Linked DNA regions of Xenopus tropicalis. The protein of the gene in region 3 purifies or fractionates together with the protein of the main gene of each other region. This does not show direct contact. Links are inferred from orthologs where the notes say so. Each region holds a gene or a part of one and is shown on either strand. Other genes may lie near its edges.

Evidence for each region. Proteins that work in one complex are often made in the same cells at the same time.
Region 1: the proteins of ezh1 (region 3) and aebp2 purify together in Homo sapiens (affinity purification with mass spectrometry; 3 studies listed by BioGRID and IntAct, with this or other methods). This does not show direct contact. The link is inferred for Xenopus tropicalis from reciprocal best matches to the Homo sapiens genes EZH1 and AEBP2.
Region 2: the proteins of ezh1 (region 3) and mtf2 purify together in Homo sapiens (affinity purification with mass spectrometry; 3 studies listed by BioGRID and IntAct, with this or other methods). This does not show direct contact. The link is inferred for Xenopus tropicalis from reciprocal best matches to the Homo sapiens genes EZH1 and MTF2.

The regions. Positions count from the first base shown.
Region 1 is NC_030679.2:759,894-767,399, forward strand, and holds the end of aebp2 (zinc finger protein AEBP2), read left to right. Parts: intron 1-1,106; coding exon 1,107-1,214; intron 1,215-1,609; coding exon 1,610-1,796; intron 1,797-3,590; coding exon 3,591-3,715; intron 3,716-4,486; coding exon 4,487-4,554; intron 4,555-4,625; coding exon 4,626-4,739; intron 4,740-4,829; coding exon 4,830-4,884; 3' UTR 4,885-4,898; intron 4,899-5,408; 3' UTR 5,409-5,579; downstream 5,580-7,506. UniProt on the Homo sapiens protein: Acts as an accessory subunit for the core Polycomb repressive complex 2 (PRC2), which mediates histone H3K27 (H3K27me3) trimethylation on chromatin leading to transcriptional repression of the affected target gene.
Region 2 is NC_030680.2:104,217,443-104,225,323, forward strand, and holds part of mtf2 (metal-response element-binding transcription factor 2), read right to left. Parts: intron 3,947-7,881; coding exon 3,748-3,946; intron 1-3,747. UniProt on the Homo sapiens protein: Polycomb group (PcG) protein that specifically binds histone H3 trimethylated at 'Lys-36' (H3K36me3) and recruits the PRC2 complex, thus enhancing PRC2 H3K27me3 methylation activity.
Region 3 is NC_030686.2:22,246,057-22,253,937, forward strand, and holds part of ezh1 (histone-lysine N-methyltransferase EZH1), read left to right. Parts: intron 1-3,682; coding exon 3,683-3,846; intron 3,847-4,181; coding exon 4,182-4,273; intron 4,274-4,741; coding exon 4,742-4,913; intron 4,914-5,154; coding exon 5,155-5,351; intron 5,352-6,188; coding exon 6,189-6,280; intron 6,281-7,238; coding exon 7,239-7,279; intron 7,280-7,881.

The DNA.
Region 1 (7,506 bases), on a different chromosome or scaffold from region 3:
ATAGTGTTTCCCTTAGACAGTACAGTATGGGGGTACAGCTTATTGTGTGCCCAGAACATTCCCTCTCTGTATATTTGTATTTATACATATGGGTAGGAGGTGCCATAGTGTTTCCCTTAGACAGTACAGTATGGGGGTACAGCTTATTGTGTGCCCAGAACATTCCCTCTCTGTATATTTGTATTTATACATATGGGTAGGGGGTGCCATAGTGTTTCCCTTAGACAGTACAGTATGGGGGTACAGCTTATTGTGTGCCCAGAACATTCCTTCTCTGTATATTTGTATTTATACATATGGGTAGGGGGTGCCATAGTGTTTCCCTTAGACAGTACAGTATGGGGGTACAGCTTATTGTGTGCCCAGAACATTCCCTCTCTGTATATTTGTATTTATACATATGGGTAGGAGGTGCCATAGTGTTTCCCTTAGACAGTACAGTATGGGGGTACAGCTTATTGTGTGCCCAGAACATTCCCTCTCTGTATATTTGTATTTATACATATGGGTAGGGGGTGCCATAGTGTTTCCCTTAGACAGTACAGTATGGGGGTACAGCTTATTGTGTGCCCAGAACATTCCTTCTCTGTATATTTGTATTTATACATATGGGTAGGGGGTGCCATAGTGTTTCCCTTAGACAGTACAGTATGGGGGTACAGCTTATTGTGTGCCCAGAACATTCCTTCTCTGTATATTTGTATTTATACATATGGGTAGGGGGTGCCATAGTGTTTCCCTTAGACAGTACAGTATGGGGGTACAGCTTATTGTGTGCCCAGAACATTCCCTCTCTGTATATTTGTATTTATACATATGGGTAGGGGGTGCCATAGTGTTTCCCTTAGACAGTACAGTATGGGGGTACAGCTTATTGTGTGCCCAGAACATTCCCTCTCTGTATATTTGTATTTATACATATGGGTAGGAGGTGCCATAGTGTTTCCCTTAGACAGTACAGTATGGGGGTACAGCTTATTGTGTGCCCAGAACATTCCCTCTCTGTATATTTGTATTTATACATATGGGGGGGGGCCTGTGTAGGTGGGGCACTAACCCCCGGCCGTGTTGCTCGGGGCACTAACCCCCGGCTGTGTATGTTACAGGTGTACGTGTGCTACTGGAAGGGCTGCAAGGTGTATAATACCCCATCTACGAGTCAGAGTTGGCTGCAGAGGCACATGCTGACCCACAGCGGAGACAAACCCTTCAAGGTATTGTGGGAACGGCCAATCGGGCAATGTGTAAGCTCCTCCTTCCTGTATAAGCTCCTCCTTCCTGGGAAGGCCCAGCCCATTACTGCTATTGGGCAGCAGCACTGCACTGGGCTAATCCATAATGGGGGAGGAGCCAGAGAGAAGGGGGCTGAGACAGGGGAACAGGCGGTGCTGCACCCACAGATCCCAGCAGCGCCCCAAGGTACCGTCTGTGTCGGGGGGGGGGCCCCAGGGGCTAAATGTCCCACTATAATTGGGGGGTAAGTGCAGGCTGAGGGGCTACACACTGGGGGGCACAGCAGCTGCACATTGGGGCACCTTAGGGCCGACAGTGAGTTTGTGGGGGGGGACCCTGGGCTCGGTACTGAGGCAAAGTCTTGTTTGATTGACAGTGCGTCGTTGGCGGCTGCAATGCCAGCTTTGCCTCCCAGGGCGGCTTGGCCCGGCACGTGCCCACTCACTTCAGCCAACAGAACTCCTCCAAGATGGCCAATCACTCCAAGTCCAAGGAGGAGTCGCCGTCCAAAGCCGGACTGAACCGCAAGCGCAAGCTGAAGATCAAGCGGAAACGCACCCTCCGTAAGTGCCCCCCCTGGTACGGAACCTTCTGTGTTCTCCCCCCCTGGTACGGAACCTTATGTGTTTTTCTCCCCCCCCCCTGGTACGGAACCTTCTGTGTTCTCCCCCCCCCTGGTACGGAACCTTATGTGTTCTCCCCCCCCCCTGGTACGGAACCTTATGTGTTCTCCCCCCCCCCCAGTACGGAACCTTATGTGTTCTCCCCCCCCTGGTACGGAACCTTCTGTGTTCTCCCCCCCCCCCTGGTACGGAACCTTCTGTGTTCTCCCCCCCCTGGTACGGAACCTTATGTGTTCTCCCCCCCCCCCCCCCCCCCCCAGTACGGAACCTTATGTGTTCTCCCCCCCCCCTGGTACGGAACCTTCTGTGTTCTCCCCCCCCCCTGGTACGGAACCTTCTGTGTTCTTCCCCCCCTGGTCGGAACCTTATGTGCCCCCCCTGGTACGGAACCTGCTGTGTTCTTCCCCCCCTGGTACGGAACCTTATGTGCCCCCCTGGTACGGAACCTTCTGTTTCTTTCCCCCCCCCCTGGTACGGAACCTTAATGTGCCCCCCCTGGTACAGAACCTTCTGTGTTCTTCCCCCCCTGGTACGGAACCTTATGTGTTCTCCTCCCCCCCCTGGTACGGAACCTTATGTGTTCTTCCCCCCCCTGGTACGGAACCTTCTGTGTTCTCCCCCCCCTGGTATGGAACCTTATGTGTTCTCCCCCCCCTGGTACGGAACCTTATGTGTTCTCCTCCCCCCCTGGTACGGAACCTTCTGTGTTCTCCCCCCCCCCCCGGTACGGAACCTTATGTGTTCTCCCCCCCCCCTGGTAACGGAACCTTAATGTGTTCTCAACCCCCCCCCCTGGTATGGAACCTGCTGTGTTCTCCCCTGGTATGGAACTTATGTGTTCTCCCCCCCTGGTACGGAACCTTATGTGTTCTCCTCCCCCCACTGGTACGAACCTTATGTGTTCTCCCCCCCCCCCCTGGTACGGAACCTTCTGTGTTCTCCCCCCCCCCCCCCCCCCCCCCCCCGGTATGGAACCTTCTGTGCCCCCCCTGTAAGGCACCAGCCTCTCCCTGTGTGGGCACCAAGCTGCCCCTGCCCTGTAAGGTACCAGGCTGTCCCTGTGTGGGCACCAAGCTGCCCCTGCCCTGTAAGGTACAGCCTCTCCCTGTGTGGGCACCAAGCTGCCCCTGCCCTGTAAGGTACCAGCCTCTCCCTGTGTGGGCACCAAGCTGCCCTGCCCTTAAGGTACCAGCCTCTCCTGTTGGGCACCAAGCTGCCCCTGCCCTGTAAGGTACCGGGCTCTCCCTGTGTGGGCACCAAGCTGCCCCTGCCCTGTAAGGTACCGGGCTGTCCCTGTGTGGGCACCAAGCTGCCCCTGCCCTGTAAGGTACCGGGCTGTCCCTGTGTGGGCACCAAGCTGCCCCTGCCCTGTAAGGTACCGGGCTCTCCCTGTGTGGGCACCAAGCTGCCCCTGCCCTGTAAGGTACCGGGCTGTCCCTGTGTGGGCACCAAGCTGCCCCTGCCCTGTAAGGTACCAGGCTCTCCCTGTGTGGGCACCAAGCTGCCCCTGCCCTGTAAGGTACCAGGCTCTCCCTGTGTGGGCACCATGCTGCCCCTGCCCTGTAAGGTACCGGGCTGTCCCTGTGTGGGCACCAAGCTGCCCCTGCCCTGTAAGGTACCAGGCTGTCCCTGTGTGGGCACCAAGCTGCCCCTCTGTGTCTATGGCTCATTCCCTGTATCTGTGCCCACGTGTGCCCCTTCCCTGGCACTAACCTGTTACGCTTTGCCCAGTAGCCCGACCACATGACTTCTTTGACGCCCAAACGCTGGACGCCATACGGCATCGCGCCATCTGCTTCAATCTCTCGGCCCAAATAGAGAGTCTGGGCAACGGGCACAGCGTCGTCTTCCACAGCACGGTGAGTGGCATCTTCATTCCCGGGGGTCCCATAGTGCCCCTGTAGCCCCGGGGGGCATTGGTGCCAGGGGGCAGATGGGGCAGAACTGTTACAGGTGCCAACTTGCACGGTGAGTGGCATCTTCATTCCCGGGGGTCCCATAGTACCCCTGTAGCCCCGGGGGGCATTGGTGCCAGGGGGCAGATGGGGCAGAACTGTTACAGGTGCCAACTTGCACGGTGAGTGGCATCTTCATTCCCGGGGGTCCCATAGTGCCCCTGTAGCCCCGGGGGGCATTGGTGCCAGGGGGCAGATGGGGCACAACTGTTACAGGTGCCAACTTGCACGGTGAGTGGCATCTTCATTCCCGGGGGTCCCATAGTGCCCCTGTAGCCCCGGGGGGCATTGATGCCAGGGGGCAGATGGGGCAGAACTGTTACAGGTGCCAGTTTGCACGGTGAGTGGCATCTTCATTCCCGGGGGTCCCATAGTGCCCCTGTAGCCCCGGGGGGCATTGGTGCCAGGGGGCAGATGGGGCAGAACTGTTACAGGTGCCAGTTTGCACGGTGAGTGGCATCTTCATTCCCAAGGGTCCCATAGTGCCCCTGTAGCCCCGGGGGGCATTGGTGCCAGGGGGCAGATGGGGCAGAACTGTTACAGGTGCCAATTTGCACGGTGAGTGGCATCTTCATTCCCGGGGGTCCCATAGTGCCCCTGTAGCCCCGGGGGGCATTGGTGCCAGGGGGCAGATGGGGCAGAACTGTTACAGGTGCCAACTTGCTGTGTTTCTAGGTGATCGCTAAGCGGAAGGAGGACACTGGGAAAGTCAAACTGCTGCTGCACTGGACCCCGGAGGACATGTAAGTACCGGGGGCGGGGCTTGGGCCCGGGGTGCTGGTTCCGGTTCTAGCGGCTCCGTCTCTCCCCTCAGACTCCCGGACGTGTGGGTGAATGAGAGCGACCGGCACCAACTCAAGACCAAAGTGGTGCATTTATCCCAACTGCCCAAAGATACGGCCCTGCTGCTCGACCCCAACATCTACAGGTACGGGGGGGGCGCCGCTGCCATGGTAACGGGTCGGAGCGGTTCTGGGGCTTTTGTTTCTCACGTGGTTTTGTCCTTTTTTATGTGCAGAAATTCTAGTAAGCGGAACCCACCGAGCGGGACCCTGAGAGAGCACCTCCCCTAGCTCCGCCCTCGCTGGTTTGTATTCCTTGTCCCGCCCCCAGGCTGGGCTCCGCCCACACCCCTGCAAGTGCTGCTGGGTATTTGGGATGTTTGCCCCATTATGTGTTTGATTAATTAGTGCAGGTGTAAGGAGGCTCGTTAGGCTTAATTATCCGGAAGCTTTGGGCTGCCCTATACAAACATGGCGCCGTGACCAATCGTTAGATATTAGCCCCCCCCCCACTAGCTGTTATTGCCCCCAAATACACAATGGTTTGCCCCCTATCAGTCTGTGTGTTTGTTTAATTAATGCCAGTGCAGGTGTAACGAGGCTCGTTAGGCTTCATTAGCTTTATTGGGCTGCCCTATACAAACATGGCGCCGTGACCAATCGTTAGATATTAATGGCACCAAGTACCAAGGCTTGGTACTGACCCACTCCGGTACCTGTAAGTTATAAAGGACATGTGAATAAGCCCCTCCCCCTGCGCGCAGCAGTGCAGCGAGGCGATTCTTGGCTCTGACTGTGTTTCCCTTGTGTTTCAGGCCGGGCAGAGCGCAGCGGGAGGAGCTGGAGGCGCCACTGTGCAGTCGTGTGGAGCAGTGCACGTTAGTGAGCCCCTCCCAGCAAGTGTCCTATTGGTCGTAGTGTTGTGGAGTGCTCTGTGCCACATACCCCCCCATTCTGTGCGAGAGCCACGTACCCCCCCGGCCCCCCATTCTGTGCGAGAGCCACGTACCCCCCTGGCCCCCCATTCTGTGCGAGAGCCACGTACCCCCCCGGCCCCCCATTCTGTGCGAGAGCCACGTACCCCCCGGCCCCCCATTCTGTGCGAGAGCCACGTACCCCCCGGCCCCCCATTCTGTGCGAGAGCCCAATACCCCCCCCCGGCCCCCATTCTGTGCGAGAGCCACGTACCCCCCCGGCCCCCCATTCTGTGCGAGAGCCACGTACCCCCCGGCCCCCCATTCTGTGCGAGAGGCACGTACCCCCCGGCTCCCCATTCTGTGAGAGAGCCACGTACCCCCCCGGCCCCCCATTCTGTGCGAGAGGCACGTACCCCCCCGGCCCCTCATCCTGTGAGAGAGCCACGTACCCCCCCAGCTCCCCATTCTGTGCGAGAGCCACGTACCCCCCAGCTCCCCATTCTGTGCGAGAGCCACGTACCCCCCCGGCTCCCCATTCTGTGAGAGAGCCACGTACCCCCCCAGCTCCCCATTCTGTGCGAGAGCCACGTACCCCCCATTCTGTGCGAGAGCCACGTACCCCCCCAGCTCCCCATTCTGTGCGAGAGCCATGTACCCCCCCCCCCCGGCTCCCCATTCTGTGTGAGAGCCACGTACCCCCCCCGGCCCCTCATTCTGTGTGAGAGCCACGTACCCCCCGGCCCCTCATCCTGTGAGAGAGCCACGTACCCCCCCGGCCCCTCATCCTGTGAGAGAGCCACGTACCCCCCGGCCCCCCATTCTGTGAGAGAGCCACGTATCCCCTGCGCCCCCCCATTATGTGCGAGAGCCACGTACCCCCCCGGCTCCCCATTCTGTGAGAGAGCCACGTACCCCCCGCGCCCCCCATTCTGTGCGAGAGCCACGTACCCCCCCCCCCCCCGGCTTCCCATTCTGTGCGAGAGCCACGTACCCCCCCCCCGGCTCCCCATTCTGTGTGAGAGCCACGTATCCCCCCCCTGCCCCTCATTCTGTGTGAGAGCCACGTACCCCCCCCGGCCCCTCATCCTGTGTGAGAGCCACGTAACCCCCCTGGCCACTCATTCTGTGTGAGAGCCACGTACCCCCCCCGGCCCCTCATTCTGTGAGAGAGCCACGTACCCCCCCGGCCCCTCATTCTGTGTGAGAGCCACGTACCCCCCCGGCCCCTCATTCTGTGCGAGAGCCACGTACCCCCCGGCCCCTCATCCTGTGAGAGAGCCACGTACCCCCCCGGCCCCTCATTCTGTGCGAGAGCCACGTACCCCCCCGGCCCCTCATCCTGTGAGAGAGCCACGTACCCCCCCGGCCCCTCATCCTGTGAGAGAGCCACGTACCCCCCCGGCCCCTCATCCTGTGAGAGAGCCACGTACCCCCCGGCCCCCCATTCTGTGCGAGAGCCACGTACCCCCCCCCGGCCCCTCATTCTGTGCGAGAGCCACGTACCCCCCCGGCCCCTCATCCTGTGAGAGAGCCACGTACCCCCCCGGCCCCTCATCCTGTGAGAGAGCCACGTACCCCCCCGGCCCCTCATCCTGTGAGAGAGCCACGTACCCCCCCGGCCCCTCATCCTGTGAGAGAGCCACGTACCCCCCGGCCCCCCATTCTGTGAGAGAGCCACGTACCCCCCGCCCCCCATTCTGTGAGAGAGCCATGCCCCCCCCCATGCTCTTCTGGCTAATTAGTGGCGCTGCGTCGAGGCTTTGCATGTCGGCTGCTTTGCAATGTGTTGTTGTACATCGTTTGCCTTCGTTAGTGCGGAAACGTTCGTTAGGGAATCCCGCCAGCCTGATAGGCCCAGGATCCCGTGAGGCCCAGCAGCGATTGGCCCTTTGGAAATGCACTTTTGCCTGTCCTTTATAGAATAAGCCCCTCTGTGCAGAACTGCCCGGGGTTGCGGGGAGTTTAACTCCCAGCTGCTGCGCGTCTGCCCCCCTTC
Region 2 (7,881 bases), on a different chromosome or scaffold from region 3:
CTTGTGGACCGACGAGACAAAAGTTGAACTTTTTGGAAGGTGCGTGTCCCGTTACATCTGGCGTAAAAGTAACACAGCATTTCAGAAAAAGAACATCATACCAACAGTAAAATATGGTGGTGGTAGTGTGATGGTCTGGGGTTGTTTTGCTGCTTCAGGACCTGGAAGGCTTGCTGTGATAGATGGAACCATGAATTCTACTGTCTACCAAAAAATCCTGAAGGAGAATGTCCGGCCATCTGTTCATCAACTCAAGCTGAAGCGATCTTTGGTGCTGCAGCAGGACAATGACCCAAAACACACCAGCAAATCCACCTCTGAATGGCTTAAGAAAAACAAAATGAAGACTTTGGAGTGGCCTAGTCAAAGTCCTGACCTGAATCCTATTGAGATGTTGTGGCATGACCTTAAAAAGGCGGTTCATGCTAGAAAACCCTCAAATAAAGCTGAATTACAACAATTCTGCAAAGATGAGTGGGCCAAAATTCCTCCAGAGCGCTGTAAAAGACTCGTTGCAAGTTATCGCAAACGCTTGATTGCAGTTATTGCTGCTAAGGGTGGCCCAACCAGTTATTAGGTTCAGGGGGCAATTACTTTTTCACACAGGGCCATGTAGGTTTGGATTTTTTTTTCTCCCTAAATAATAAAAACCCTCATTTAAAAACTGCATTTTGTGTTTACTTGTGTTATCTTTGACTAATAGTTAAATGTGTTTGATGATCAGAAACATTTTGTGTGACAAACAAGCAAAAGAATAAGAAATCAGGAAGAGGGCAAATAGTTTTTCACACCACTGTATATAAATACCCTGCTGTGTAGCCCCGGGGGCAGCCATTCCTGCACTGGTACAGCTGGGGTGTTTGCTACAGAAACCCTACTATAGTTTATATAAATACCCCGCTGTGTAGCCCTGGGGGCAGCCATTCCTGCACTGGTACAGCTGGGGTGTTTGCTACAGAAACCCTACTATAGTTTATATAAATACCCTGCTGTGTAGCCATGGGGGCAGCCATTCCTGCACTGGTACAGCTGGGGTGTTTGCCACAGAAACTAGAGCTGGGCGGTATGACAAAAAATTTATATCACGGTATTTTTCAAAATTATATCGGTGTCACAGTATTTGACGGTATTTTTTTTTTCCATGCATGATTAGGTGTTAACCCCATTTCCTAATAAATTAGAGAATTACTGCAGTATTGAAAATCAGAGTCAGGCAAGCGAAGGATCGGCAACAGAAAGTCGTAAGGTAAATCAGGCAGGCTTAGTTTCCCAGGCAAGGCCGCAGACAACATAGCACAGGAGGAGGCGTTTGATAGCTTTAAATACCCCCCACGCATGCGCAGAACCGGCGCCACCAGCGCGTCACGGACGTGCAGCGCTTTGACATGTACGTGCGCTTTGACGCACAAGCACCTGGACGCGCATACGCAATGTCCCGTGGACAATGGGACGCGCGCACGCAAGGAGGCGCGAGACCGGGCCACACGGGTGAGTACCCCGACACCCTGGTATTGCGGTATCTGAAAAATGAATATAGTTTTTTAAAAAAACACCGGTATTCGGTATTAAACGGTATATCGCCCAGCCCTAAAAGAAACCCTACTATAGTTTATATAAGTAAGCTGCTGTGTAGCCATGGGGGCAGCCATTCAAAGGAGAAAAGACACAGGCACATAGCAGATAACAGATAAAACACTATTGTATTCTACAGAACTTGTCTGTTATCTGCTATGTAACCTGTGCATTTTCTCCTTTTTTCCAGCTTGAATGGCTGCCCCCGTGGCTACACAGCAGCTTATTATATAAATTATAGTAGTGTTACTGTAGCAAACACACCAGTTTTACCAGTGCATTATATTTTTATTACTTTAAAGCTCTTTTATTTTTTGGTGTTACTGTTCCTTTATGCTGTAATTCAGCTGTAATGTTAGCTTAAACTTTAAACATGACTATGGGATTCTAGGGAAATCATTAGGAGTAGGAGTATAGATAAAATTGTCTATCAGTTTATTATCAGTTCAGTTGTGTTTTAAGTACCCCTTCCCCCCTTCCCCTTCCTGGATGTATAAAATACATTAGCATATTAAAAACAGAGGAGTCAAAGTCGTGGAGTCGGAAGTATCAGAAACTTCGGATTCGGATCTACCGACTCCACAGCCCTGTTTCATTTACATCAATGACAGGTGGCACAGAGGATTTATTTTGTTTCTCCACCAACTGAAATATGCAAGCAAAAAGAAGATGCAGTTACCACAAGCGTAAGTTTTGACTGAAGACTAGACGGATCTATAATTTCATTCTATACCATTTACAGGTAAATAAAGTACCTTAAATGTTTATTCTTCATAAGAGCAGCTTTTGCATAGATTAACATGCTGGAATGCACAAGAGTACCAAATATGGCCTTTATTGACACTATATAAATGGTGATCCAACTTTCCTTCTCAGTTTCTGTACTGAGAGCAATCACAGTCTGGTTGATCCCCAACTGCTGGCTAATGCCTCCGGGTCGCCAAAGGCACATCCAAACTGATGGTCATTACTTAAAGGGATACTATCATGATTTTTATGATATACTTTTTATTACTAAAATACACAGTTTACATAGCAAATAACTCACTCTACCATTTAAAAATGCTATTCTTGAACCAACAAATGTATCTTTTTTTAGCTGTCATATTGGTGCGTAGGCAGCCATCTCGGTGCATTGTGCTTTCAGAAAGAGCCAGTGCTACACATTAGAACTGCTTTCAGATAACCTATTGTTTCTCCTACTCCCATGTAACTAAGGGCTCTGGTACACGGGGAGATTAGTCGCCCGCGGCAAAACTCCCTGCTCGCGGGCGACTAATCTCCCCGAGTTGCCTTCCCTCTGCCATCCCACCGGCGAACATGTAAGTCGCCGGCGGGATGGCAGACGCGGCGGCGCGATTTCGGCAAATCGCCGAAAAAGACTCGCGAGGCTTTTTCGGCGATTTGCGCGAAATCGCCTCGCCGCGTCTGCCATCCCGCCGGCGACTTACATGTTCGCCGGTGGGATGGCAGAGGGAAGGCAACTCGGGGAGATTAGTCGCCCGCGAGCAGGGAGTTTTGCCGCGGGCGACTAATCTCCCCGTGTACCAGAGCCCTAAAAGGAGTCCCTATCCGGGCTTGAATTTCTTACTATTAAGGGCTATTCTGATATCTATTGGGAGCTGCTATCTTGCTGCCTTCCCATTGTTCTGCTGATTGGCTGCTGGGAGGGGGGGTGGTATCACTCCAACTTGCAGCTCAGCAGTAAAATGAGATCAAAGTTTATCAGAGCACAGGTCACATGGTTGTGGCACCCTGGGTAACGAAGAACATGCCTAGCTCCATGTGAAATTTCAATATTAAATATAAAAAAAATCTTTGTGTTTTTGAAAATCTAGCATTGAAATCTATTAACTGATGCTTTTTGAAAAAAAATGTTTTCTGATTACAGTATCCCTTTAACATTACTAAGAGATTTTGTTCCTATGCCTATGTACACCCAGCTAACCTCAATTTACACCCATGTGTTCTCACAAGCATCATGCCCAACCACACGTATGTAGGCTAATTTGCTAACCCCTTCTTGTTTATGTTGGGGGGTGCTTTTACACCCATTAAAAACGCAATATTGTCTAATGTCTATTGTTCGACAGAAACAATAGAATTGTCAATTGTTGTGAGAGAGGAAAAAGGACTTGAGAAAATGACAAGTAAAAGCATGACTACAAATGCTACCTTTTTGATAGTTCCAAGATAAAACAATCCATCTGACCATCTTGCTAGGACATCTTGACCTTCTTCAAATTTACATATTTGTCTCTTAGGTATCGTTCCATGCCGTACACACAGCTTGGTCAAGGACTCAACAGCCTTTGGATGTCGACGGAAAGTGGATCTTTTAAGGACCAATGACTTGCCCACCACAGTTGCGTCTCTAATTAGAAAACATAAGTTATCATAAATGAGAAATCTTAAAAACAGATACCAATTATTAAATTTGTGAACAATCCTTAAAATGATTTTGCAATATTTCTCCAATACAAAGGTAGCAGGTAGCACACAGTACTATCGGCATCTGTGAAAAATAGTTCTATTAGGGTGGGAGAGGCATATAATCATTTTTTACCCACCTGGCTCGGTTTTTTTCCCATCCTGCCATAACGTAATTTGTTTGGGTGCAGTTTAGCACCTACATTATAAAATATGCCCAAATGTTTAGTAAACTAAATTGTAAGGTTTTTTTTGTTAATTAGCCTCATCTAATCTAGTAGGAAGTAATACAATGCAATGTATGGCGTTCTATCACTGTTTTCTCCATGTGAACAAAAACATAAAACATCCACACTCCACAGACATCGGAGGTAGGTGCCTTGCTTGATAGAGGATTATCTTGCATACAAAATTAATACACTGAATACAAAGTCTATGCTCCTAAGGGTGAAAACAAACAGGCCAATTAGTTGCTGCGATTTTAAAAATCTAGAAGGAGTCACTAATTGGCCACACCAGTTCCTTAGCACACAGACATGAATGTTTGAAAACAAAGGAAGCGCTGCTGCTACTAGTTTTTTTTTTTTTTTTTTAAATTGCGACTAATCTCCCCGTCTCTCTTTGCTCTAACTGTACATAATGTGATGCCTGTAGTATTCTAAGAATGGGTGATTAAGTATACATACAGACACAAGAACAAGCATTATTATGATTATTACAATGATTCACTCAATCTTATTTTTCAGATAGTATCAAATACCTTGCTTTAGAACCCAGAAATTCTAAATCCTGTGGTACCATGATACTTAGCAGGTGCATTTACCACTGAAAAGAACCACAGTCACAAGGCTTGCATTAAATGTACAGCTGAAAAATACCACAGAACTCAGTGTTTCTAAGAAATATCTTGAAACTAGATTCCAACCGTTCCCTGAAATCTCATCAAAACTTAAATTGCATGTCTGCTGATCTCACTATCAGGCGCACACAGCGTTTAACGGAAAAGTACCTTCCTTTATGAAGTTTGCTACATCTATTTTACTATTTATCTGCAAAATATAGGCACAATTACAAAACACATTAACTGTGTTTTAATGTTTTGTGATGTGTTAAATATTGTGGTCATAGGTTTCTATTTAAGTATCCTAAACTTGTTACTAAAAACAAGGACAATTTTTTTGTTATTGTAATAATATGTATATAAGTATATGAAATAGATTTATTAACTGAACAGCCTTTGTGTAAGCCTCCGTGCATAAAGGTACTGGTGGATAAAATAATGGACAGAAGAATATTGGACCTGGATTACAAAGCATTCTCTCGACACCAAAATAGAGACTATAGTAATGCAAAAGATTACAAGCAAATACTTTATTTGAAGAGATACAACTTAAGGTTAACTAAGTATGCTATGGAATTCCCTGATCTTACCAACCTTTCAATTGGTCTTCACTTTTTTTTTTTTGGTTTGCCTTTTTTCTGCCTCTTTCAGTCTTTTAGATGTTTGGATCACAGACCCCCCGAAGACAAACAACTATTGGTCTGTGCGGCTACAATTTTATTCTTAGTTACATTGTATTGCTCATATCAGTGCTGTCCAACTGGCACCCCCAAACTCTGGTATTGTTTACACCTGTAATCCCCCATGTTGTTCACACCTTTTTTCCCTGCATCTCAGGCTCAGACTGTAAGCACCCACATTGTTCACCTGTTCATACCTCAGACAGACTGTAGGAGCATTGGTGTTATTTTGTCACTGTATGTACCAGGGGGGTGCTGTCCCTCCACACTGTGCACAAGGCTTTATTATCTTGAGAGGCCAGTGTGTGCTGGCAATTTATCCTATTGGCCATCCAAGCCTGTCACTCCCAAGATAAAGGAGGATACTGTTCAACTTTGGGTCTAAATCTATAACTAAGCCACAACATTGTGGCTTTTCCTTTTATTTATTTAAGAAACTATAAACATTTCTTAAACCTAAAAAGTTTAAACAAAAGAAAAAAAAAATAGCAGCTCAGCTGGACTTCACACTAGTGAAACAACTATGCACTGGGCTTTATTCTTTACAGCAGAGAAGTACTATATTATGACTTATCTGTGAAATAGGACAGTGTAACATTGTTTGTTTTTCATTACAATTTAAATATAATAGGTGGAGTCGGTACATTTTTGCCTGCTGACTTCAGGTACCCAAAATTGCTTTCTTTAAAGGGTTAGTTCACACTTAACGTTAAGTATGTTACAGAATGGTCTAATCCTAGCAGTTCTTAAATTGGTCTTTATTTTTCTTACAACTTTGTTTAATTATTTGCTTTCCTCTTGTGCCTCGTTACTGCAGTGGAAAAAATGATGCTCAATGAAGGTACGTTTTATTTTTACTTTTAATCACTAATCTTTCTATCCAGACCCTTTTTGATTCATTTTCCATTCTTCTCATTCAGATCACCTAGAGGTTAGATTAAATTGGACCTTAAGCTGATGCCAGACGTGGCGTTTTTACGCTGCATATTTTCTCCGCCTAAAAACGCTGCACAACCCACACAGCCCCTGAAAGATTTGCTGAAACTAGAGAGCTGCTGAATAAAAAGCATGTCACTGTTTCAGTGATTCCCAACCAGTGGCTCATGAGCAAAATGTTGCTCACCAACCCCTTGCCTTGGACATTGCTCCCAGCGGCCTCAAAGTAGGTAATTATTTTTGAATTTCTGATTAGGGGGAAAGCTTTGATTGCATAAAAACCCAGTGTAATTGCCAAACCGAACCTTTTGTAGGCTGCCAGTGAACATATGGGCTATCAAACTATAGGTCTCAACTGGCACGTCTATGAACATTTTTCATGCTTGTTTTGCTCTCCAAAAATGTTTCCATTTGAATGTGGCTCACGGGTATAAAAGGTTGGGGATCCCTGGATTAAATCATACTATTTCATTTAAAGGTTAACACAGCCTCATTAAGTTTAGGGATGAACGCAAACTTGAAGAGTCTACTTCAAAAAACCAGGGCAGACAAGCCTTGGGCTGTAGACATAAGAAGTCCACTGAAGCAGATAAAATCATGGTAATAAAATAGCCTGTACAGCTGTATCCTGTCCCCATGCATATATATTCAGTGTTATGAAGGTCAGAAAAGTGCAGCTGATCTATTTGACAGCTGAAATGATTGTGGATATTACATATGCTTTGTCTTAGTCAAACTCTATATCAGTATAAACCTGAAGATCTACTATTTTAACAACTAAATTATGCAGATCGATTAGAGCCCATAAAAAGAATAAGCAGAGGCCTGAAGAAGTGTGTATAACCTGAAGGTTCATATCCCTGGCACCCATTCTCTTACTTAGTGGGCAGAAGGAACTTCTCAGCCACTTCAAATATGTAGTAACATTTCAGTTATAATAGTGTATAACAGGGCTGTGGAGTCGGAGTCGAGGTACCTGGAGTCGGAGTGGCAAAAAATTAACAGACTCCTACTAAATTTAAATGGGAATAAAAAAAAAAAAATAAAGCAAGTTTAAATGTCCCAATTCACAAACAGTCATAATTAATTACTTCTCTGCTATAAGAATAAAGCCCAATGCACGCAGTGTATAAACGAACATGTTGAGTGACCATGAAGCATGCTTCACTAAATGGGACGTAACGCACAGTTAAGGTGCGGCAGCTCCACTGCGTCATTTTCCTCTGTTACAGGGAACACAATGCCCACTGTGAACCTAGCCTAACTCTCACTGATAACTAAGTAAAAAAAATTTGCAGGACTAGAAATACTTCTATACGTGCTTTAATCGGGCAATACAGTAGAGCAGGGATCCCCAACCTTTCTTACTCATGAGCCACAGTCAAATGTAAAAAGACTTGGAGAGCAACACAAGCACCATAA
Region 3 (7,881 bases):
ATCCCCACTGTCCAGCTTCTTACTTACCTCATCATAAAAAGCAATGAAATTGGTCTGACATGACCTGTCCTTCATAAAGCCATGCTGATTACTGCTCATAATGCCATTCTCCACTACATAATTTTGAATGTGATCCCTTAACAAGCCTTCAAATAACTTGCCCACCACGGATGTCAAACTTACAGGCCTATAATTGCCAGGCTGAGATCTTACTCCCTTTTTAAATATGGGAGTGACATTCGCCTTCTTCCAATCCCTAGGTACCATACCTGATGAGAGCGAGTCTGAGAATATCAGAAACAAGGGCCACTGCAATTCTGCCCCTAGCTCTCTCAGTACCCGAGGGTGTATTCCATCTGGCCCCGGTGCCTTGTTTACATTTATCGTGTGTAACCCTTTAAGCACCATATCCTGTGCCAACCACTGTGTAGTTGGAGCTGAGGCAACAGTGAAGCTATTGGGTGGGACTTGGCCCACTGGCTCCTCTACTGTATACACAGAAGAAAAGAACTGGTTAAGCACATCTGCCTTTTCTGTATCCGCTGTAACCATATTGTTATTATAACTCAATGGGGCCACACCCTCAACCTGCATCTTTTTACTATTAATATACTTAAAAAACTTTTTGGGGTTAGTCTTGGCCTCGGCCGCGATGCGCTCCTCATTTTCTATCTTTGCCTTCCGGATTGCTGTTTTAAACACTTGTTATAGTGTTTATATTCATTAAGCGCAGCTACTGTCCCCTCTGACTTATATTTCTTAAAAGCTTTCCTTTTTTCCCCTATTAACTTCTTTACCTCAGAGTTAAGCCACATAGGGTGATTCTTAACACTTCTACTTTTTCTTATTAATGGAATGAATTGAGAACAGTAATGATTTAATATCATTTTAAATGACAACCATTTCTGCTCTGTATTTTTATCAGAAAATATAATGCCCCAATCTATGCCCTGAAGCGCTGCCCTTAAGGAGCTAAAATTTGCCTTCCTAAAATTCAGTGTCTTTGTTGCCCCCGTGTAAATTTGTTTCCTGCACCAAACATCAAATGAAATAACATTATGTTGTTTACATTTATCGTGTGTAACCCTTTAAGCACCATATCCTGTGCCAACCACTGTGTAGTTGGAGCTGAGGCAACAGTGAAGCTATTGGGTGGGACTTGGCCCACTGGCTCCTCTACTGTATACACAGAAGAAAAGAACTGGTTAAGCACATCTGCCTTTTCTGTATCCGCTGTAACCATATTGTTATTATAACTCAATGGGGCCACACCCTCAACCTGCATCTTTTTACTATTAATATACTTAAAAAACTTTTTGGGGTTAGTCTTGGCCTCGGCCGCGATGCGCTCCTCATTTTCTATCTTTGCCTTCCGGATTGCTGTTTTACAACACTTGTTATAGTGTTTATATTCATTAAGCGCAGCTACTGTCCCCTCTGACTTATATTTCTTAAAAGCTTTCCTTTTCCCTATTAACTTCTTTACCTCAGAGTTAAGCCACATAGGGTGATTCTTAACACTTCTACTTTTTCTTATTAATGGAATGAATTGAGAACAGTAATGATTTAATATCATTTTAAATGACAACCATTTCTGCTCTGTATTTTTATCAGAAAATATAATGCCCCAATCTATGCCCTGAAGCGCTGCCCTTAAGGAGCTAAAATTTGCCTTCCTAAAATTCAGTGTCTTTGTTGCCCCCGTGTAAATTTGTTTCCTGCACCAAACATCAAATGAAATAACATTATGGTCACTATTACCCAGGGGTTCAACCACTTGCACATTTGCTATACGTTCTGGGTCATTAGAGATCACTAGATCTAGTATAGCATGGTTCCTGGTTGGCTCCTCAACAACCTGTGACATAAAATTGTCGTGCAGCATGTTTATAAACTTGTTCCCATTTACTGTCCTGGCAGTACTATTGCCCCAGTCAATATCAGGGTAATTAAAATCCCCCATTATAATCACTTGCCCCAAACTAGCAGCCTTTTCTATTTGCAACAGGAGCTGGGCCTCCTCCTCTTCGCTTACATTAGGGGGTCTATAGCATACCCCTACAATTAGTTTGGTAGATTCTTTACTATCTGTGAGAAGCTCAACCCATAAGGATTCAGCTCCCTCTGTTCCCCCCATAACTTCCTCCTTAATATTTGCTTTTAAGTCGTGCTTAATGAACAGACACACTCCTCCTCCTTTTCTATTGCCCCTGTCCCTCCGAAACAATGTATACCCCCCAATATTAACTGCCCAGTCATGAGACTCATTCAACCAAGTTTCAGCAACACCAATCACATCATATTTCCGCTCCAACGCCAGTACCTCCAGCTCTCCCATTTTACCAGTCAGACTCCTTGCATTGGTAAACATACATTTAATACTGGTTCCGGCGTGTAAACGTGTAAACGTGTAAACAACTTATGGGCCTCCCTGCCATTATCAGTATCCTGAAGCAAGTCTCCTCCCCCAATTTCCCTTACTGTGCCCACTACCTCATCTATCCTGTCTACCACAGAATTTCCCGCTGCACCCTCCCCCCCCACTCCTAGTTTAAAATCTCCTCCAACCCTCTAGCCATCTTTTCCCCCAAAGCAGCTGCCCCATCATCATTGAGGTGCAGCCCATCCCTGGCAAAGAGCCTGTAGCCGATTGAGAAATCAGCCCAGTTCTGGAGAAACCCAAAGCCCTCCTCCCTGCACCAATCTCTCAGCCACGCATTAATCTCCCTGAGCTCCCGCTGCCTTCTTAATGTTGCTCGTGGCACAGGTAATATCTCTGAGAAAATTACCTTGGAAGTCCTCGCCCTCAACTTTGCACCTAGCTTTTTAAAATCGTTCTTGAGGACTTCCCCCCCTCCTCTAACTTTGTCATTGGTACCTATGTGTACCAAGACCGCCGGGTCTTCCCCAGCCCCTCCCAACAATTTGTCCACTCGTTCCACCACATGCCGAACCCTAGCACCAGGCAAGCAACACACAGTTCGGCATGTAGGGTCTTTGCGACAAATTACCCTATCCACCTTTCTAATAATTGAATCCCCTACAACTATAACCTGCCTTCCCTTCCTAGCACTACTCCCCCCACCTGTATTAGAGGTGCCGGCTCCCAGGGTGCTCTGAGAGTCAGCCTGCTCCATACATGCCAGCTCAGAGCTGCCTTCCCCAGCATCTTCACCTAACGCGGCAAATCTGTTGGTTTGTACAAGCTTTGAACCAGCCCCCCTACCCTTGTGTCCCCTACTTCCCCTCTTAACTGTTACAAATTTGTCTCCCTCATTAACCTCCACTGTCCCTTTCCCCCCCCCCACTACACCGGCCCCTGCCAGTGGTTGCTCAGTGAGCCTCCTGTTCTCCCCCATGCTTGCAGCTGCCCTCAGTGCTGCCAGTTCCCCCCTTAGACTCGAATATTTAAATATCCATAACTGTTCTGGTTATTGGAAACAGTGCCATGTTGGTTTTAGACTAACATTTGAATACCAACATGACCAGTCCAAATTATGTAGCTGGTGTTTCCTTGATTCTGTATTCTTTGGATGTAAAGAACATTACATGGTTTATAAGGCTTCTGTAACAAAGACAAACAATGACATGCTAAGAGAGGTGCTTTGCTCAAAACATAGTTCTTTGTACTTTGTTTCTCTAGAAAACTATGCACATGTTCCTTTTACTTTTTCTTACCAAGGTACAAAGAACTGACAGAAGCCTATGATCCCAATGCATTGCCTCCCCAGTGTACTCCTAACATTGATGGACCATGTGCCAAATCTGTGCAAAGGGAGCAGTCTCTTCACTCCTTCCACACCCTATTCTGTCGCCGCTGTTTTAAGTATGACTGCTTTCTACACCGTAAGTTGAACAAAAGTAACATTTGTGAATGTACAAGACCCTATGTAGCATCAACTAAGCTTGAGCAGAATGTAACATTGATAAAGGGGAACTTACCACTGCAGTCCTTGCTGTGTAGTAAAATGTGCTAAGGGCACTGCATAACTACTGCACAAGAGAGTGTGGATTTAAATGTATATGTGACTACTACAACCTCTTCTATTAAATGAATCTGTTTTATTGCCATTTTTGTGTTTAATAACTTCTTTCTACATTGTTTTTTTTTTTTTTGTTTGATTTCACTTACTGTATAGATATATTATAATATATATAATAATATATATATTTTGTTGCAGCATTCCACGCAAGTCCTAATGTATACAGGAGAAGGAATCGAGAAATAAAGATTGAAACTGAGCCCTGTGGAATTCATTGCTTCTTGTGGCTGGTAGGTTGACCATTCAAACAGTGATATCAATTTATAGGACTCTTTTATGTTTATTGGTAAAATAAATTATTTGTATAGATTTTGGTAAAATTGTTTAATGTATTGGTTAAAAATTATATCTGAATGGTGCAGTAGGTCAAAATATAGGCAATTCAGGGGGCCACCTGTGGCCCATGGCTCTGTAGGGTTGCTCTGTCTGCTCTTTCTGCTTCCTGGATCCCCTTTAGCCATTGGCTAGAAATGCTATAACTACTTAACATTTGTAAATATAAATCCCAGCACCTTTAGATATGCATGAGAAAGTTTTATAAAACACATGGCAGAAAGTTGGTTATTTGAAAACTTGTTTCCTTAACCCATACACGCATTGTCTGCTCATTCTGTAAATAATGTGTATACCAGTGGGTTCTACCAAAGGCTACAAACTGTTGCTTCATTTTTCCGTTCATCCTTATTATTCATGTCCAGGAAGGAGCAAAAGAATATGCTATGATGAACAATCCCAGATCCAAATGCTTGGGAAGGCGTCGCCGGAAAACCACAGCCCTTGCTGCCTCTGGCTCAAACTCTAATGTAATGGAGACTAAAGAGGGGGACAGTGATCGAGACACTGGCAATGACTGTGCTTCTAGCTCTTCAGGTGATGGAAGAGAACCACTCTCATGAGGTTTTCAGAAAGCTTAACCCAAAATAAAGACCAGTGTAACATGTACAGGACTTTAAGTAAAAAAATTATGAATGCAAAGTCTTGTTTGTGTCTAATTAGTAGAGTATATTGTGCCAATATCAAAATAGTAGATGTAGAATGTGGTAAAGAGAAAAGGAAACACAGGAAGAAAAGGGAAGTCACCTTTTAAAAATGGGTTTTCCTGATATTGCAGAAGCAAATTCACGGAGCCAAACCCCTACCAAACAAAGGCAGGGAAGCCTAAGTGGGGAGCTTCCAGATGTGTCTGAACCCAGTGAGCCAGTGGAATGGTCTGGAGCTGAGGAGTCACTCTTTAGGGTCTTCCATGGAACTTACTTCAACAATTTCTGTTCCATTGCTCGTCTAATGGGCACCAAGACATGCAAGCAGGTTGGTGGGAATTATTGCTCTGGGTGCAAATGATCTGCAACAACTTATTTAAAGTTAGTTATACTATACTCCTATGATATAGCTGAGTCTAGGAAATGAATAATAGTGAATATTCTGCCAATTATTCTGCAAACAATATTCTATGAATATTCTGCAAACAAAAGCTTTTGATCAAATATTTTAGCTATGGCTGAGGTTGTCAGTGCTGATTGGCTCTTGTTATTTGAATTGGTTAGATAAGAAGACACTCTAAGAATCTAGACACATTGCACAATAGGTTCTGTGCTTCTCTTGCCTAAAAATGCATAGTATATTGTATATTGTAATAGTTCAGAGAAAGGGCAATATAAGTGCAATTCTTAGATCATTTTCATTTATTGTATCCTTTTCATTTATTGTATCATTTACACAGGGATCTCCAACATCTTTTACTTGTGAACCACACTCAAATGAAAAAAGTGTTTGCAATAAGGGCTGTTATTGGCTATTTGGTCTATTTGATAGCTCTGTGTCCAATTGCTAGCTTGCAGGAGGCTCTGCTTCAAGTAAAACTGTGTCACTGTGCTTCCAAGCCACAAATTTAAAAATTGTGCTCCTACTTTGGGGCCACTGGGAGCAACATTGTTTGGGTTGGGGATCACTAATTTACAAAATTTCTGGGCATACCCCTTCATCAGGTAGGGCGATACGTCCCTTGAAATATTGTAATTGATACAATAAACGCAAAATCACTTCTCTTATTTAAACAAACTGCGTAAAATGAAATCTTCCGGATAACATACTAGAAGTATGTAGATAGCTTGATTTCTAATTCATTCTTATTGGGTTTTGTCAAAGGTTTTCCAGTTTGCTGTGACAGATTCCTTGCTCTTAAAAGTGCCAGCAAAGGAACTAATGAGCACTGCACAAAAAAAGAAACGGAAGCACAGGTACAGCTAAGGTGTTAAAATTGTAAAGTTTTGTAAAACTGAAAGGGGACCTGTCACCTTAAGAAATAATTCCATATTGTTTTCTATTGTGTTTGTCAAGCAAAATAAACTTTACTTACACTATATAAATTATTTTAATCATATTTTCTTCAGCCTTGGAATTCACAATTGCAGTAAGCAGGCAGGCTCCATTTTGTGGACACTGTTATCAATCACTGTTGCAATCCTGCCAAAATCTTGTTTCTGTGCCAGTATGGGGGACCTGATGCCCATATCCATGCACTGGTTACACAATTAAATGGTGCGGAGGGAGGGGGAATGTGAGGAGGGCAGCAACATCTAAGAAGTTCTGAATTGAAAGTGAAAGTATCTCTCTGCCCCACCTCTATGCCTAAGGCATAGAGGCGGGGCAGGCAATATATGATTGACAGCTGGGATTTTTAAATGCTTTTATAATGGGTTTGGATGTGTTAATAAAAAAATGATTTGGGGTTTCTTGTTTAATTTGAAAGGGCTTTTATTATACAGCTTTTTATGTCTGGGTGACAGGTCCACTTTAAGTCAGTGTCCTGTTTGTGATCATGAAAGAAATGCAGTTGTTACATTTGGTATTTAAAGAATTTTATAATCTATAGCAGTTTAATTAAATTGGGGCAATGCAACAATGTTAGATGACTAACTTTGCACCTTGTGTTGTACATAAAAAAAAATAAGAAAATAATGAACAAAAATATGTTTTGATCAACATTTTTCACTTTTTTTGCAATAATGCTATATATTTTATACATTTCTTCAGTTTCCTGTATTAGGCACTGTAAACTGTGGCACAGAAACACAGATCTGTTTCCAATTAGGTTGAAAGGAAGGGCAAGTTATAAATAAGGCAAAAAAAGGAAAATGTTGTTCATACAAAAAATATGTAAGATTCTATTGTAATATACTTTTCTTTCCCCTGTAGATTATGGGCAGCTCACTGCAGAAAGATACAGTTAAAAAAAGGTGAGATTTTTTTGACAATCAGTATTTATTACCTGCATCTTGTATGCATGAAAAGCTGTTAGTATGAAGAAGAGGGGAGACAGATGCGCAACTAGTTCAGCTGATAACTTGTTCCAGGGGACTATATGAAGATTTCTTTATATGAGATTCAGTTTTAATTCATTGCACAACTGTTCAGTTGGATAGAGGTCAGGGCTCTGTGCAGGCCAGTCAAGTTCTTCTACTCCTATTACAGCAAACCTATGATACCCTCTGCCCATGTAAATAAGAGCCTTTTTGTTCTGAAACAGCAAAAAGCCTTCCCAAAACAGTTAGTTGCCTGTGAGCCTTTCCCAAGCTCTAGCCTTAAGGTTTGCTTTTAGTAAAAACTTTAGTAAGGCCCAAACCATGGAAAACAACCCTGAATCATTAATAAGCCTCCACCAAACTTTACTGTTCTCCTGGCATCTGTGAAATCTGCACAGTTAAATGCCATTTATCACCCTTGAGAACACCAGGTTGAGGGTGTGGCCCCATTGAGTTATAATAACAATATGGTTACAGCGGATACAGAAAAGGCAGATGTGCTTAACCAGTTCTTTTCTTCTGTGTATACAGTAGAG